2 linked regions of the Oreochromis niloticus genome follow. The protein of the gene in region 1 purifies or fractionates together with the protein of each later gene. This does not show direct contact. Links are inferred from orthologs where the notes say so. Each region holds a gene or a part of one and is shown in the gene's direction. Other genes may lie near its edges.

Region 1 (7,844 bases):
GAGAAATAAGAAAAACTCCAAAGTTTCTAATTACATGATTAAAAAATAATAATAAAAAAAATCACAAGAAGAAATGTTGCAGGATAAGTGTGTTCTTTCAGAGGAAAAATGCTTTCAAAGAGCAGCTGTGGTCAGAGTGCAGAAAGAGTGAAGTCTTAGTCATTGTTTATCACTGGTTTATTATTACTAGAAAAAGCATCATGTTCTTGTGAAATGAGTGACCTGACTTGAGTCAGTAAGCTGGAATGAAAAGCTGTTGATTTTTTTCATTTTTAAGAAAATGTGTTGAAGAGTTACAGTGAGGCATGTAAAAAGAAGAGTAAATAAACAGGCTTATTTTTAATATCTAATAACCAGATGCACTCATTTGTCTATCCAGGTATGCTTTTACTGCATTTGCAGCGTGTTTGGCATCATTTTCCTGCTGAAACATGAAGTTGCTGCCAGTCAGATGTTTTCTAGATTGTATTGAATGGTGGATCAAAATCTGATGGTACTTTTCTTTATTCATAATTCCATCAATTTTGACAAGATCCCCATGACAGAGCCTCCACTGTGTTTTACTGGTGCCCTTGGTCCTCTGACCTCCTCCATGCATACTGATGATGATTTGACTCCATAAGGCATGTTGCCACTGATTTTCAGTTCAGTTCTTGTGTATTTTGGCATTTGTTTTTTTCTTATTTCTTAAGGGCATTTCAAATGCTTTAATCTGTTGTAGATATTTTTTTAGATGTTCAGCGTCTTCTTTGGTCCTTCGCCTTTCCAGTTTCCTCAGACTAATCAAACTGTGTTATCACTGCCATTTTAGAAATTTAGAAAGCCTGATGAGGGATGGCTCGAGACTTCTGCACAGAACTTATCTGGAAATGAGGCTTTTTTCAACAATATGTAAAAAGTGCAGAAAAATTGATGCAACTTTTCAAGGGTGATAACAGTGCAATTTCTTGTTTTGAACTTCGCTTTGGACTTCATGTTATTGCAGTTCACCTGGGTCTCCGTGTCTGTCTCTCTGGTCAAAGTGGGCTTCCTGACCCCGAGTCTCTCTTTTCATAGTTTGAAAAGGTCAGTAGACTGACTCCAGCATACACAACAAAAGTACTGTGGGAACTGTCCAAAGTGTTGAAATGTACGCAAGACGACGATGATCACAAATGTGACCTTGAATTTGCTGGGAGAGAAATGTTGGTGGTTGTGCTATAAGCATAAAAAGTAACAGTATCGTGTGTATTTTGTACATAACAGGTTTTAACTAAAAAACGCTTAAAGCTGTACTGTTCAGTTACACTGCAAAGACATGACGAAGCAAGTGCACCACTCACCTAATCAGTGTTCAGCCGGTCTAAAGGTCAAAGGCTGAAACCTCTGCATTGATTTTGGTCCAACTTTATAGTTTATTATCCATCAGTAAACAATCTCACACAAACTCAGCAGCTGAAGTTATTCCACTTGGATTTCAGTTAATGAACTCAATGGCATTTTAGGTTGACAGCACCTTTTAATTTGAGGAACAAGCGTGGGTGGATTAAAGGATTAGTCTGAAGTACTCATGAGCTTGTTGAAGTAGAGAGGAGTTTGAGTGTGAAAGTCATTTTTTGATCTCATAATGAAGTCAAATACTTCCAGACTTGCTATTTTAACAAAAGTGGGTCAGACAAATAAACTTTTGTGCTCTCTGTCATTTCTTTTTTTCCACTTAGATAAGAATCTATGACTCTGGAGAGAAGTCGGGACTGTTTTCCATGCGAATAGTGGGAATAAAGAAAGTGAAGTCTACACCCTGAGGTTTAAATATCCACCATTTACCCCACAACCTTTAAATACTTATAAGGAATTCTTAGGGGGAAAAAACTGAACTATTTTTCCCCTTTGAGCCCCTCTGACTGCTGTTAAATGATATTCTTGGATAATTGGTAGTAATGTATTTCCAATATGTATTTCTGTCTAGTTATCCATTAAAGATTAACTTCATTATCAAGCTACTGTTGTTTGGTTATTGACGTTTAGCCACGCCCACTAAAAGGATCAGCCAATACAAATGCGAATAGATCCCCCCCACCCTCCTCCTCTTCACACACACCCTTCCCGCTGATGACCGTGAGCAAGTTTCACCGGTTCACTCTCCGGCAATGGATTTACGATTCATGTAAATAAAACAGATCGGCGCAGCTTAAATTGCGCAAGGATGGCGGACGAGGAGTCACTGAAGGACACGCTACCGGACGAGGAGAGGGAGTTCCAGAACACTATAGCGAAAATTGGAGGTAGAGAGAGGATTTATTTGGTGAGTGATGTCTGCAGAAGTAAAGATTTGGACGGGGATGACGCCGAAATATTGCAGGAGTTCGTACGCGACATGTTTCACAACGGCAGCCTGGTGGCAAACGGCCATGGTGGCCCCCAGTCAAGTCCGGCAAGCGATCATGGCGGTAAAGCAAGTACAAACCACGTTTCCAGCGAGGCGGAGACTGGAAAGGGCAATGAAAATTCTCTAACAGCGAGGCCCAAGGACTTGGAATTGGGAGAGGACAGAGAGAAAAAGAGACGACCAGCGGGTAGTAGCAATGCTCAGAGGACAGCAACGAGGAGGGCGAACATCCACAGCCTGAAGCGAGCGATAGACTCCCCTGTCATCATATTCATCTTCAGACAGACTTTCATTGGCCGAGTTCCAAACGAGGTGTGCTTAAAAGAGATCCTCAAGGATGTAAAGGCACGCACGAAATGCGTTACAATCGCTCGGCCAGCTCTGATTGGATTAATCCGCACAACCGACGAGAACGCCGAGACGCGCCGGTGCGCCCAGCTTCTGGAGCGTCTGATCCGCTCGGTGTTCCACAAACATGCATCAGAGGCGATATGGGTCGGCTGCTTCATCCCGAAAACAGACACCCGAATGCTCAGCATCAAGAAAAACGTCTGCAGAGTTATACATTCATCTCAAGCAGCAGGTGTACACACATTCCACTTGTAGCAAAACCTCAGAAAAGCCTATTTATTTCATGCCGTGTTGGAAAAAAAAACAAACAAACATGATTTAGTGTGACCATCTGCCACAGCCGCACACACCCATGTCAGCAGGACACATGCTTGTAAACATGAAGTTTGAACCTTGGCACATTTAACCAGGCCAGTATAGGAAAATTGTACAATGTACAGCATATTAGATCACCAAGAGGCAAGCAGCATAATTTGTCCAAGATATAATATGTTAACTATTATACTGAAGCCTCCACTACTCATAATATGATTGTTGTATGCTCACCAAAGAGCACTACTTCAATTCAAGTCCATAAAGGACATACTTTAATGTACTTTAATGAGAGAGCTCACTCTGTTGTGTAGGCCACTTCATGACACTCACAAGACCACACTGCACACATTTTTCTTCCCAGGCATGGCTGCAAAGGCCAGGGAACAATGAGAGCATTCACAAAACGGTCACCCCCTTAGAAAAGCTGCCACATTGTTAAACGCTTATTATCGCCTTTCAGATAATACTAGGGGTGAAGGGAACCCAGTTTTCTGGCCATTGCAACGTTGGTTCAGCCACTGGAGAAGAGAAGACCGAGGTCCAAACAGCAAATCATCAAGCAGCGGGCAAAGAGGTAGCTGCAAAGTAACTTCAGCAGAGAAATGCCTGAACTGCACCACAGTCCTGCAGTCAGTTATTTTCACTGCAAGTTCACAAGTTGTCTTTTTTCAGGTGACGCTGAAAGTGCAGAAGAGGGCATCCCTCTGAAAACCCGTGCCTTGTCTACTGGACCAACTCTGAATGGAGAACCATCTGGAGGAGACGGCTAATGTAACCTGTGTGCTTTTTAGACTGTGAAAAGATAAGCCGGTCTCAGTGCTTTGCTAGTGTTACAATTTTTCTTTGTGATGCTCAGGGACCCATTTCTTATGAGCCAGCATGTTTCTTGTCATGTCAAAGCCACCCAAAGACTGTCAGGTTGGAAACATGCATTAGTTTGTTACGTGTTGAGAAAGCATTAGACGGCTTACAGCATAAGTACTCTTATAAAATGATACAGGACTTGATTACTGGCTCACTGTTTGTCAGGGGACTTCTGTATGTCAAATACAGGGAATTAAAGAACAAAATCAACTGACATGATAAAAGCCTTAAAATGTGAAATCTCACACAGTTTACCTGAATCCAGGTCACGTTCTCGCCAAGAAAAACTGCACTAATTTTCCGGAAAACTGTATTAATTGGATCACAGGGATCCTGGGTGTTTTACTTAAGAATTTATTTTTCATTTTCATTAGGATTTTGTGTCTTAGAGACAACTTTTAGGACCACCAATATTTGTAACAGGATTTATGTCACTTGTATTTATGTAGCCTACTGACTTATTCATCCCTTTAAATAAACGTCATTGGACTTGCCTGAGTGTTCAGCTTTGTTTTAAAACACATACTCCTTGACTATTCTTTCAATAAAGTAAAAACTGCTTGGGTGACAACTAGTGGTCATTGAAAGCTGTATTGTCATATCACTTTGCATGAAAAACACGCCGCCCTTGGCTTCCTCGACCTCAATTTAATTGCCAGATGTGCTTATTTGCTGTTTGTAAGCGACTTGCCTTGTCTTGACAGAAAGGTAGAAGAGCTGCTGGGCTGGCAGGTCGCTATTTGAGGTGCCAGTGTAAAAATCGGATACATTCAACTACAATTAGAAATTCCCCACATTTTTTCAAATATTATTTATGTTATATTTATGCTAATTAGTTATAAAACTGGTATATGTTGGTCCAACTGATGAGTCCAGCATGAATCTTATACATTTTTTTTACGTTTTTAATCAGGCATAGTAAAAGCCGGCCAACCCGAGGGTCCTTCAGACAGGGACTTGCGGTGTTGAACAAAAAGAAGTTAGCAGCGGCTGCGTTCAGTTCGGTGGTTAAACATATCCAAATATTGCAAATCTTTTCTTTAATTTCCCCCAAATCACACGAAATTTCGCCGTCAAACTAGGATAAGCGGGGCCGAGGAGGGACCGAAGAGCCAATCATGATAACATCTGCCGGTAAGTAGTTGAAGGTAGCTTTATTTTGTTAGCCGTTGCCATTGATTTAGCTGAGTCACACGGCTAATACTTGGCAGCCCACCATAGACCGTTGATCACATATAAAACCACTAAAGTAGTTATAGTAAGGAGAAACACATTTCATTGTGGATTTTCCCGTGCTTCCGAAACGGTTTTAATCACTGCAAGGCTGTTTAAATGGAGGAAGTGGAAATAAATTACAGTAATGGCAACGTTAGCAGTCAGCATGGATCGTTATAGATAAACATGTTCATTTTTGCTTTCATCTGAGACGTAATTTCCGAGGACGTTATGTGTTTGAATACATCCTAAATGCTGCTGTCATCGTGGTATTGCTAAAAACAATCTTCAAATTGCCGGATTTTGGGCTGACATTATATTTTATCCTCAATAGAAAACAATATTTTAGGCTTCTGTATCTCCCCAGGCTCCATTGTAATCTAATGTATTCTTAAAAGTTTTTGTCTTTGATTTGCAAATGTATTTAATATTTGAAATGACCGTTGGATGAACAGAAAAGTATTTGGATTTTATGAAGTAAACATCCATTTCATAATTTCTTTTGTTTTCTAGCTGGAATTATTTCTCTCCTTGATGAGGATGAGCCCCAGCTTAAGGTAAGAGTTGGCTGTAGGGTAGTCGATTGAATATACGGGTAACGAGAGATTTTAATGTCTTGTTATCTCACCACAAGAGATACAGTGACAGAGATAAAGTCTCTTGACTTTTGTAAATTGTCAGTGTGACCCATCAAGTTTTGCTTAGAGATCTCAGTGTTTTATTTCTCTACATGACATAAATGTAAACTCATTTGGGGTATGCAGTATTACATAAAAGTGAATAAAAAGATGAATGTTTAAACAACACGTCTGTTTTTCTTGCAGGAGTTTGCTCTGCACAAGCTAGATGCCATTGTGAATGACTTTTGGGCTGAGATTTCAGGATCCGTGGATAAGATGTAAGTAGCAAAGAGCTTATATTATAGTTATTACAGTACTGTAACATAAGTCAGCAGGAACTTAAGCTCATAGTTTATTTCTATGGGGTTAAAGATTTAACTGACTCTCCCTGTACACTGTTGTTGATACACTGACAACAGTATTTACTCTCCCTCAAAGCTCCCTCATAGTCCAGTAACAAATGCAAAACTGAATGATTTTGATCATCTCTGATCTGATCTACAATTTACACTCAATGGTGATTAGAAAAATGGCTCCTGCCAGTTTTGTTTTATGTAACTAGTTGTTGTCTCCTCACAGTGAAGTCCTATATGAGGATGAGTCTTTCCGGAGTAGAGAATTTGCAGCCTTGGTGGCCTCCAAGGTTTTCTACCATCTTGGAGCCTTTGAAGAGTCTCTAAATTATGCTCTTGGTGCGGGAGATCTTTTCAGTGTCACAGATGACTCAGAATATGTGGAGACCATCATTGGTGAGTGGGGGGGGGGGGAGAAACTTCTTCTTCTCTTCTTACCAGTGCAAAGTAAAGCAAAAATGTAATGTTAGACTTAAGGTTTATCCTCCATTGCTTTCTAATGAAAAGTATGTATGAAATAAATATATTAACCTACATAACTTGTTATCTTTGTTTGTTATTCGGATGCAGCCAAATGCATCGACCATTACACCAAGCTGCGGGTGGAGAATACTGAGCTCCCAGAGGGCGAAGAGAAGAAAACCATAGACCCCCGTCTCGAGGGCATTGTCAACAAAATGTTCCTGCGTTGCCTAGACGATCACAAGTATAAACAGGCCATTGGCATCGCCCTGGAAACAAGACGTCTGGACATGTTTGAGAAAACCATCTTAGAATCAGTCAGTGCAGTTCTCTGCTAACTTGAGATTATTTTGGATCTTTATAACAAGTTTTAATAAGATTTACACTTTGGTTACTGCTGTCGATTGTTCAAGGTTATTAACGTTTCATCTTAAGAATTTTTTTTTCTTTTCACTTCCCTTCCAGAATGATGTGAGTGGCCTCCTTGCCTACAGCTTGAAGGTGTGCATGTCCCTGATGCAGAACAAGAAGTTCCGTAACGACGTGCTGAGGGTGCTGGTCAAACTCTACATGAACCTGGAAAAACCCGATTTCATCAATGTCTGTCAGGTAACAAATGGATTGTTCTAACACCCTAGCCAAGGAAACTGGCGTGGGTGATCGTGATTTCACTTCTTTTTTTCCCCCCCTCCAATGTTTTATTCATTGATTTGTTGTTTGCGACAGCATACACAAACACAGAAAAGAAATAAAAGGCTTTCAGGCACGAAAACGTACAGAGGGAATTGAAGACAGTGCGACTCTCGAAGTTCTCAAACATGAAGAAAACCTGTCAAGAATATAACAAAAATATATAAAAAACATTTTTGCATCTAATGGGGCCGAGAAAAAAGTAAAGATCACAGCTTGTAAGAGATAATATGGTATTATTGAAGAAAAGGCCCTCATCTCCTATTAAATCTCCCCTGAATATCTGGTTTACACATGCATGATTCTTCCAGTTGTAGAGAAGATAACATCCTTAATCTAGTTTCGTAGAAGAGGTATTCCAATTTATACGTTTCTTGGCAAGCACAATTCCTTGATACAGATGAATCTGGATGCCAGGTGAAAACCCAAGGGTTTCTACGGAGCATCCAAAGATCGCCAAGTTATTGTTAGGTTTAATGTCTCTGGAGAAGGCTGCTGAAAGCCACTAAAATGATGTTATGAGAAATGAAAACTCCAAATGATAAGATCAAAATTTATATGTAATCACAATCCTCATGATTCAAAAGAGTTCACTTTAAGGCACGC
Region 2 (7,081 bases), on another chromosome or scaffold:
ATAGTGTCATTTAGCCATGGTTGATGAGAAGTTCTGGGACGTTTCATCTTTATAGGGGCCACAGTATCTAAGATGGAACAACAGGTGGATAGCATAGCGTTGGCAAAATCATCAACCAGTGGAGGTGTGTAACAGTTAATATCAGTGAAATCAGGATCAAAAAAGGCAAAGTTTAGAAAGGTCGTAATGAAGTTAGCCACAGTCTCAGAATTAATGATACGTACAGGGCGATGACAGCCTTTAGAATTTAAATCAATTGCACATAGCTCAACATCAAACATGACCAAAAAATGGTCAGAAATACCAGCATTATCAATGTCCATAGTAGAAATATCCAACGCATATGAGAGGACCAAATCCAAAGTATGGCCTTTAAGATGAGTTGGTTCCCTGACCCACTGTGTAAGGTTAAAAGAGTCAATTAGGGCAAGAAAATCCTTGGGTAGGGGGTCATCAGCACAACAATTCTAGGGCATGTCCATCTTGGTTTCATGAAGTCTTTTTAGTTAACCAAAGAAAGAATTCTGCGATCATCCACTTCACTTATCTTCTGTGGTTTTCCAGCCCTTTTGGTGTTGCTGATCTGGTCAGAGCATTCTTTTCCTTCTTTTTTTTTTTTTTTGCACAGGATTTATTGTAATAGGCTGCACGCTGCCATCAGCCCCGGCTGTGTGCTTGGGGATAATTAGCAAAACTTGGCACACCTACATGCTGCACTGAAATAGTGAAGATTATTTAAAAAATGCAGTGGCTATGTCAGCATCATCACTGTGTGCATTTTAGCTTACACTGCATGTTGGCTTTATCTGACGGTGCCAGCCACCACCCAGATCCGGAAACCACCAGCAGTAGACATTTCACTTTCTCAGATGGAAGTGAAATGTCTACTGCTATTTGGATTCTTTGTTCACACATCTGGTGAATTATATTCTGTGCTTCGTAAAACTTTAATGGTTGGCACTTAACTTTAGAGCAGTGTACTCAGCAATGTTTCAGATTTCCAGTGTAACACATCTACACAGCCCCAGTACCAGCCAATAACAGTGCCTGCACCTTGTTCGCAGGAAATAGCTTTGGGCTGAGAAGGCATCTCAGTGGCCTTCAGTCTGTGTTCCACCCTTCCACCCTTCTCTCTCTCTCTCACTCTCTCTGCGCTTCTACACCACTCCACACCCTGCAACAGCTCTGCTGACCAAAACCACAGATCCCTGCAAATACCAGTTGTGTCTGTTGTGTACTTGTGTGAGTCCTTGTGTCTGTTTATTGCACATGTATGAAATGCTGCAGCTCTGGATGCCACAAGTCACCGACACCGAAGGTACATTTAGCTACGCTTTCATGTTTCACGAGCTCCTCATTTTCTCACCATTACATTGGATCACCAAGAGGCACCACTCTGACTGCTCCATTATCGCCGTCTTCCTCCAGAAAGCCTTTATTTTGCCGCATTTCCTCTCCTGCCTGCAACGTCTTGATTTCACATGTCTAACATCATCTCTTAAAAATATCTTGAAGTCACCAGGGATCAGACTGTAATCTCTGTGGCTCTCCACTTCAGAGGGGGGCTGACGGCAGACTGACGACCCCTGGAGACAGGAGCAAGAGTCACAGCCACAGTGGGAGAGGGGAAAGGAGGACACTATTGCTTCTCTTGCGGCTGCTGCTGAGTGGAGCAACATAAGGAATGCCTGATGAGCGCACGGGCCAAGGCAGGCGAGGGCACTGCCCCCGTCGTAATAACTGGATGATAGAGCGAGAGGGAGAGGATTGAATGGAGAGATAGAGGAGGGGAAGGCAGGATACAAGAGAGGCAGAAGGACAAAGGCAGTTGAGAGGAGTGGTAGATAAGGACAGACAGAGTCATACAAACAGTCATTGCAAGTAAGAGGGAGCGATATAAGAATAAGGGGAAAATGGCCTGGGGAAGAGACCCCATCGGCCTCCAGCATATTATCTCTTGCACTCAACAGTCCTGTTTAAAGTCAGGGCTGGGCAGCTGGACGATAGAAACCAATAAAACCTCTGAATGCTGAGTGCTGGATGGGTGATATTGAAATTCCTCAATGCATGCCAGAAGGACCTGGGATTGTTGAAAGGTTGATAACAGAATAAACTGCCAGCTCATGTTTAACAAGGAGAGCAAGTTTTTCCCAAAACGTCAGTCTTGAGACAAATGTAATGAACAAGCAGCAAAAACATTCAAGTAATGCATTGCATGTCAGTGGTTACATACTGCAAGCCTTCGAGTCTGCTTAGATGATGTTGTCCCTGCTTTGAAAACAATTTGCATCTAATTTGAAGAGGTTAGTACTGTAGAATAAGAGTGTGTGCAACAGGCTACAATGACCATTGAAGGATTAAATTGAAGATATAGGCCTTTTTGACTTGTTATAATGGCTTACTTGGGTACTTAGTTAGTTACTATTTTAATTTCATGTGTTTGTCCTGTGGTGACAAAGTAAAATGTATACCATGAAAAAAGAGCTGTTATTGCACTGAAAATTGTTTGTGTGTCTATTGAACTATCCCTCATTTATATTCATATTTTACAAGGAAATGGGAAATAGCTGCAGCAATTTATTGAAACGCATGCAGACATAACCAGAAGTAAAGTATATGAGACGAAAACTGAGTTTGTAAAATTCTAATGACTCTGAAAGTCAATATTTGGTATGACTGCCTTTTTCTTCAACAAAGCCAGAACTTAGGCAAGCTTTCTTGAAATAGCCTTCAGGAATCGCTCTCCCGACTTCTTGAAGGACATTCAAAGCTCTTCTTTGATCATGGTCATGCTGAAAAATGAAGCCTGCTGAATGAATGCTTTCCAGATGGTATTGCACAGTGGATCAAAATCTGGTGGTGCTTATCTGTGTTCACATTCAATTCATCAATTTTGACAGATGGTTGTAGATACTCTCTCCTGATCTTCTTCCTATATTCTGTTGCAGCTGATTTTCAGTTCGGTCCAGTCTTTTCTCCCTCTTTCCTGACGAGGCTTCGGTGAACAGTAGATGGATCAACAGCTATCAGACCTGTGTCAGACCTATGATTTTTACTTCCTATTTCTTAAGAACATGACTTTCAGATACTGTTCATCTGCTGATATGTTGGGTTTTTTTTTTTTTTTTGCTTTGTTTTGTTTTGTTTTTGGGCTTGGCACATCTTTTTTTCCTCCACTTGTCTAGTTTCATCCAAATCTTTAAGGACACAGTGCACAGCATGCTGAGATATGCCAAGTTTTCAGCTCATAGATCTTTGGGACTCATCTCATTGGTACAGAAATATTATTTCATGCCTGTCAAACTGTGTTATCTTTGGCATTTTTTGTAGATTCAACTAAAGAAATGGGAACAAATGATGTGCTTTTGTGACAGGCTGCTAGTAATAAAGTGCCTAAAGATACAATTTAATACAATTTGCCAAGTTGTCTGTTACGTGTAGAAAGACACTGGTTCATCGCTCGAGTTAGGTGTTTTATTGTGTTTAGTGAGTCATAGGTCAGTTAAGTGCTTCAAGAAACAAACAAACAAGCAAACATTCCCCTGAAAATGGTCAAGTAAAAGGACTAAACATGAGTGAAAAAGCAGCCATTGTCCAAAGAAAAACTTTAAATGACCTTCAGAAAGCCAAGACCTGCTCAAGACCACTTTGAAAAAGTATAAGAAAGTCTGGCTCTTTGGAAGCAAAATATAAACTAATGACAGGTGACTCTGGACTTTTGCGCAGTACCTTACCCTGTACCTTACCCTGTTTTCTGTTAATTCACATTCATCTGCAATTAATACTGAATTTGCAGGTATTTTAAATAGTCATGAAACATCAGCTCATAAAATATGTTTTTGCATGTTATTGAAATTGTAATCCACAAGACTCTGGGCTTACTTAAGTTTTTCTGCGCCATTTTGCCGATTATATTTATGTGCCTTCAGTTAATCAGCTCGCAGTGTTTCTGTATTGTAATACTTCACTGGAATCAAACGTGTTGGAAAACTCACCAACGAGCACACCTGAGCATTGTGGCCAATGCTCAGTTTACTGCAGTACCGAAGCAATCCACTAGGAGCGCTGTGCGTCAAGTATTTAACATAGAAGAAGAAAAGCGATACGTCATGGCGGCTGACAGTTTACGATGATTTAACGAAAACAGTAAAGACTCGTGCAAGTTGGATTTAAAGCGTTTAAACCGGACCCAGGAATAATAAAACTCCACCGACAAAATGCTAATAACTTTGAAGACCTTACAGCAGCAGACTTTCAAAATCGACATCGATGAAGAGGAGACGGTGAGAGTTAATAATCATGCATTTTGTGACAGGGGAGTGGAATGGGAGTTGAGTATGTCCTGAAATCGACATGATTTGTTTTGAACATTTCCAGTTTGGGCGTTTTGTAGGCAAGCCTGGGTAGTAACGTAAGATTCTTTTTGGATGCGTCTGACCTGCATTAGAAGTTCGGCTTAATCCAGATGCGTGTTATTTTTAAAAACCAATCAGGAAATTGTTTTTGTTGTCAGCATTTAGCCGTAGCCCACTTAAGGCTCCAAATGTGAGTGTTACGGGGGGGCGGGGTGGGGTTGACAGGTTAGCTTGAACCTTACCATTTTAGTGTTTCTCGGTCTTTTTCTGTTAGCTTGTAAAACTTATTATAATTGGAACATTTGGGTTAAGGTAAAACAAGAAAACGTTTGTGCCATTTAGAGAAAGTAGCGTTATTTAAAGTCATTAAAACATTTTGTACTTGTTATTAAGCTTGTATAAACTCTCTTTTGTCTTTGGCCAAATATATAAATCTGTGAGCTAGCGTTAGCTTTATCCGTCGGCTGCTGAAGGCCGGCTGGGTACAGCACATCTCATTACAACTTTCTTTAGTGCAGACACTTTTAACTTTTACTTTCGACTTCTTGTATGCATATTAGTCGCCAGATTATAGGTAGCGTTGCACTGCTTTTAAATGTATGGTTTTGCATAATCACCGATGACACCGCTGATGTTCGCTCAGCGTGTAGTTTTATAATTGTGCTAGCAGTTGGGTCACACTTTGGACTTTTACTCCTGTTAGCGTTGCAGGGCTGGACAAAATGGTTCCAGTAAAAAATGTTAATGGTTTTGTTGGTAAGGGATGAAAATATGAAGTAAAAGTGTATATGTTTATTTCACAGGTGAGGACATTGAAAGAGAGGATTGAGCAGGAAAAGGGGAAGGAAATTTTTTCAGTTGCCGGACAGAAACTGATTTATGCTGGTATGTTATATGCTCTTGTATCTTCTTAACTAATTTTCTTTCTTTCTTCAAGGAAATATTAATTTAAAAAAAAGAAGAATTTTATTCGTATAGCCCTTTTTAAGCACACAGTTACAAAGTGCTTCAAAGTTTGGATAAAATCACACATTAAAGATGAGTGTACATAATCAAACATGCAAACATTGGCTTACATTCAGTCCTACATACACACAACTCCAATACACGCATAATGAAACATGAGTGAACGATTAAGGAAACACTAACAGTCGTTTAAACAACACTGGTCCAGAGCTACAGCCTCAAAAGTATGATCACCTTGAGATTTAACATGAGGGCAGGGAACTGTTAAAAGACCCTGATCAGATTATCAGAGGTTGACTGCTGTTATAAGGTCTCAGTAGTGTTGCTATATATGCAGGAGCTGATGTTTTCTTTTTCTTTTTGAGTTGTAGGTTGTAGGCTAGGGCTTTTTTTTAGATTTACAGTTCAATGAAAGACGACCATTGCAGAGCCGCTGTTGAGACTGAAGTCCCAGTTTTTGTTGGTTTTTGCATCTATGCTTTTAAACCATTATTGGTATTTTAGGCTCTAGTCACACAGACGTAGAGCTGGGCGATATGACCCAAAATTCATATCTCGATATTTTTTAGCTGGATGGCGATATAAGATATATATCTCGATATTTTTTTAAAGCCATAAAGTAAGAACAAAAAGAGAGTTCTTAGTCAAAGCTGTGTCCCAGATGTCACACGGGCACTTTTATTAACATACAGCATAGATGTACATGAAAAAACACTACTCAAAAATAAATTATGAGCATTTATTAAATAATGATGCTCTATAAATAAAAGAAAACTATGTTGTTTTGTGCATAACAAAGAGCTCACTATTGTGCAGTCAAAATGTAAACTAAAAGACGCTGAGCATAATAACATAGACAGATTTCACAGCTGCTCTGTTCCCAACTTCTACTGCATGACTGACAGCCTGGAGTTTGAAATCCGCTTCGTAACCATGTCTCTGAACAGATGCCATTTATGGTCCTTATACACACACAATACGGTAATATTACGTTGAAGCACAGTACGTATTACTCCGCGAGGCTCCTCGGTAGCCGTAATGCTCCGACAATCCGTCAAGCGGTACAGCTCCGTAACTTACCAAAGTCGAACTAAAACATTTTTTGACAGATTGCTGAGCGCTGTGTATCACATAAAATCGGTTCGCGGTCATCAAGCACAACCAGAATTCATACAAAAGGCGCGCAGTCAACTTTTGAGAAAATGAAAGGATTTCAGGCCGTGCATGGCGTTAGCGTGGCTAGCTCGTTAACACGTTGACGCCGTCCAGCCCCACGCACGGGGCGACGCGCAGTAACTCATTAATGGAGATTTGCCGTGTCCATCTTGTCGCTGCCTGCAGGTGAAGCAATGGGGGAGGAGGGGGAGTTGTGTTCAGTGAAGGAGAGGCGAGGTCGAGTAACGTTGCGTAAAGACAAAAGTGGACGAAAGAGAGGCAAACTTGCGGCTCCGCAACTATAATTATAACGTAACATAGACTATATCAATATAAAGGATATTGTCACATCTTATATCTGGTATAAAAATAAATCGATATTTTTAAAAAACTCGATATATCGCCCAGCTCTACACAGACGTAATGACCAGTTAGCAACCTGCTGTCAGCGACCCACTGGTTATCACCTGTTGCTAGGGAAAATGTGCATTCCCCGACCAGCTGGCAAGTGGTTGCAGGATGTTACTGGCAGTGGCTATATGGAATTGGTCACAAAAAGGTATTCAGTGCTGCCCTGAGAACCTTTGAACTTTAGTCACTAAAGC

What was found. Proteins that work in one complex are often made in the same cells at the same time.
Region 2: the proteins of psmd1 (region 1) and rad23b fractionate together in Homo sapiens (co-fractionation; 4 studies listed by BioGRID and IntAct, with this or other methods). This does not show direct contact. The link is inferred for Oreochromis niloticus from reciprocal best matches to the Homo sapiens genes PSMD1 and RAD23B.

Annotation. Positions count from the first base shown.
Region 1 is NC_031980.2:35,588,549-35,596,392, reverse strand, and holds the start of psmd1 (26S proteasome non-ATPase regulatory subunit 1), read left to right. Parts: upstream 1-4,836; 5' UTR 4,837-5,016; coding exon 5,017-5,032; intron 5,033-5,626; coding exon 5,627-5,670; intron 5,671-5,937; coding exon 5,938-6,011; intron 6,012-6,312; coding exon 6,313-6,482; intron 6,483-6,656; coding exon 6,657-6,865; intron 6,866-7,013; coding exon 7,014-7,157; intron 7,158-7,844. Other genes in the region: uncharacterized protein C2orf72, read left to right, coding at 2,186-2,951, 3,495-3,608, 3,707-3,804.
Region 2 is NC_031972.2:18,813,100-18,820,180, reverse strand, and holds the start of rad23b (UV excision repair protein RAD23 homolog B), read left to right. Parts: upstream 1-4,074; 5' UTR 4,075-4,217; coding exon 4,218-4,283; intron 4,284-4,433; exon of another isoform or gene 4,434-4,545; intron 4,546-5,158; coding exon 5,159-5,240; intron 5,241-7,081. UniProt on the Homo sapiens protein: Multiubiquitin chain receptor involved in modulation of proteasomal degradation. Binds to polyubiquitin chains.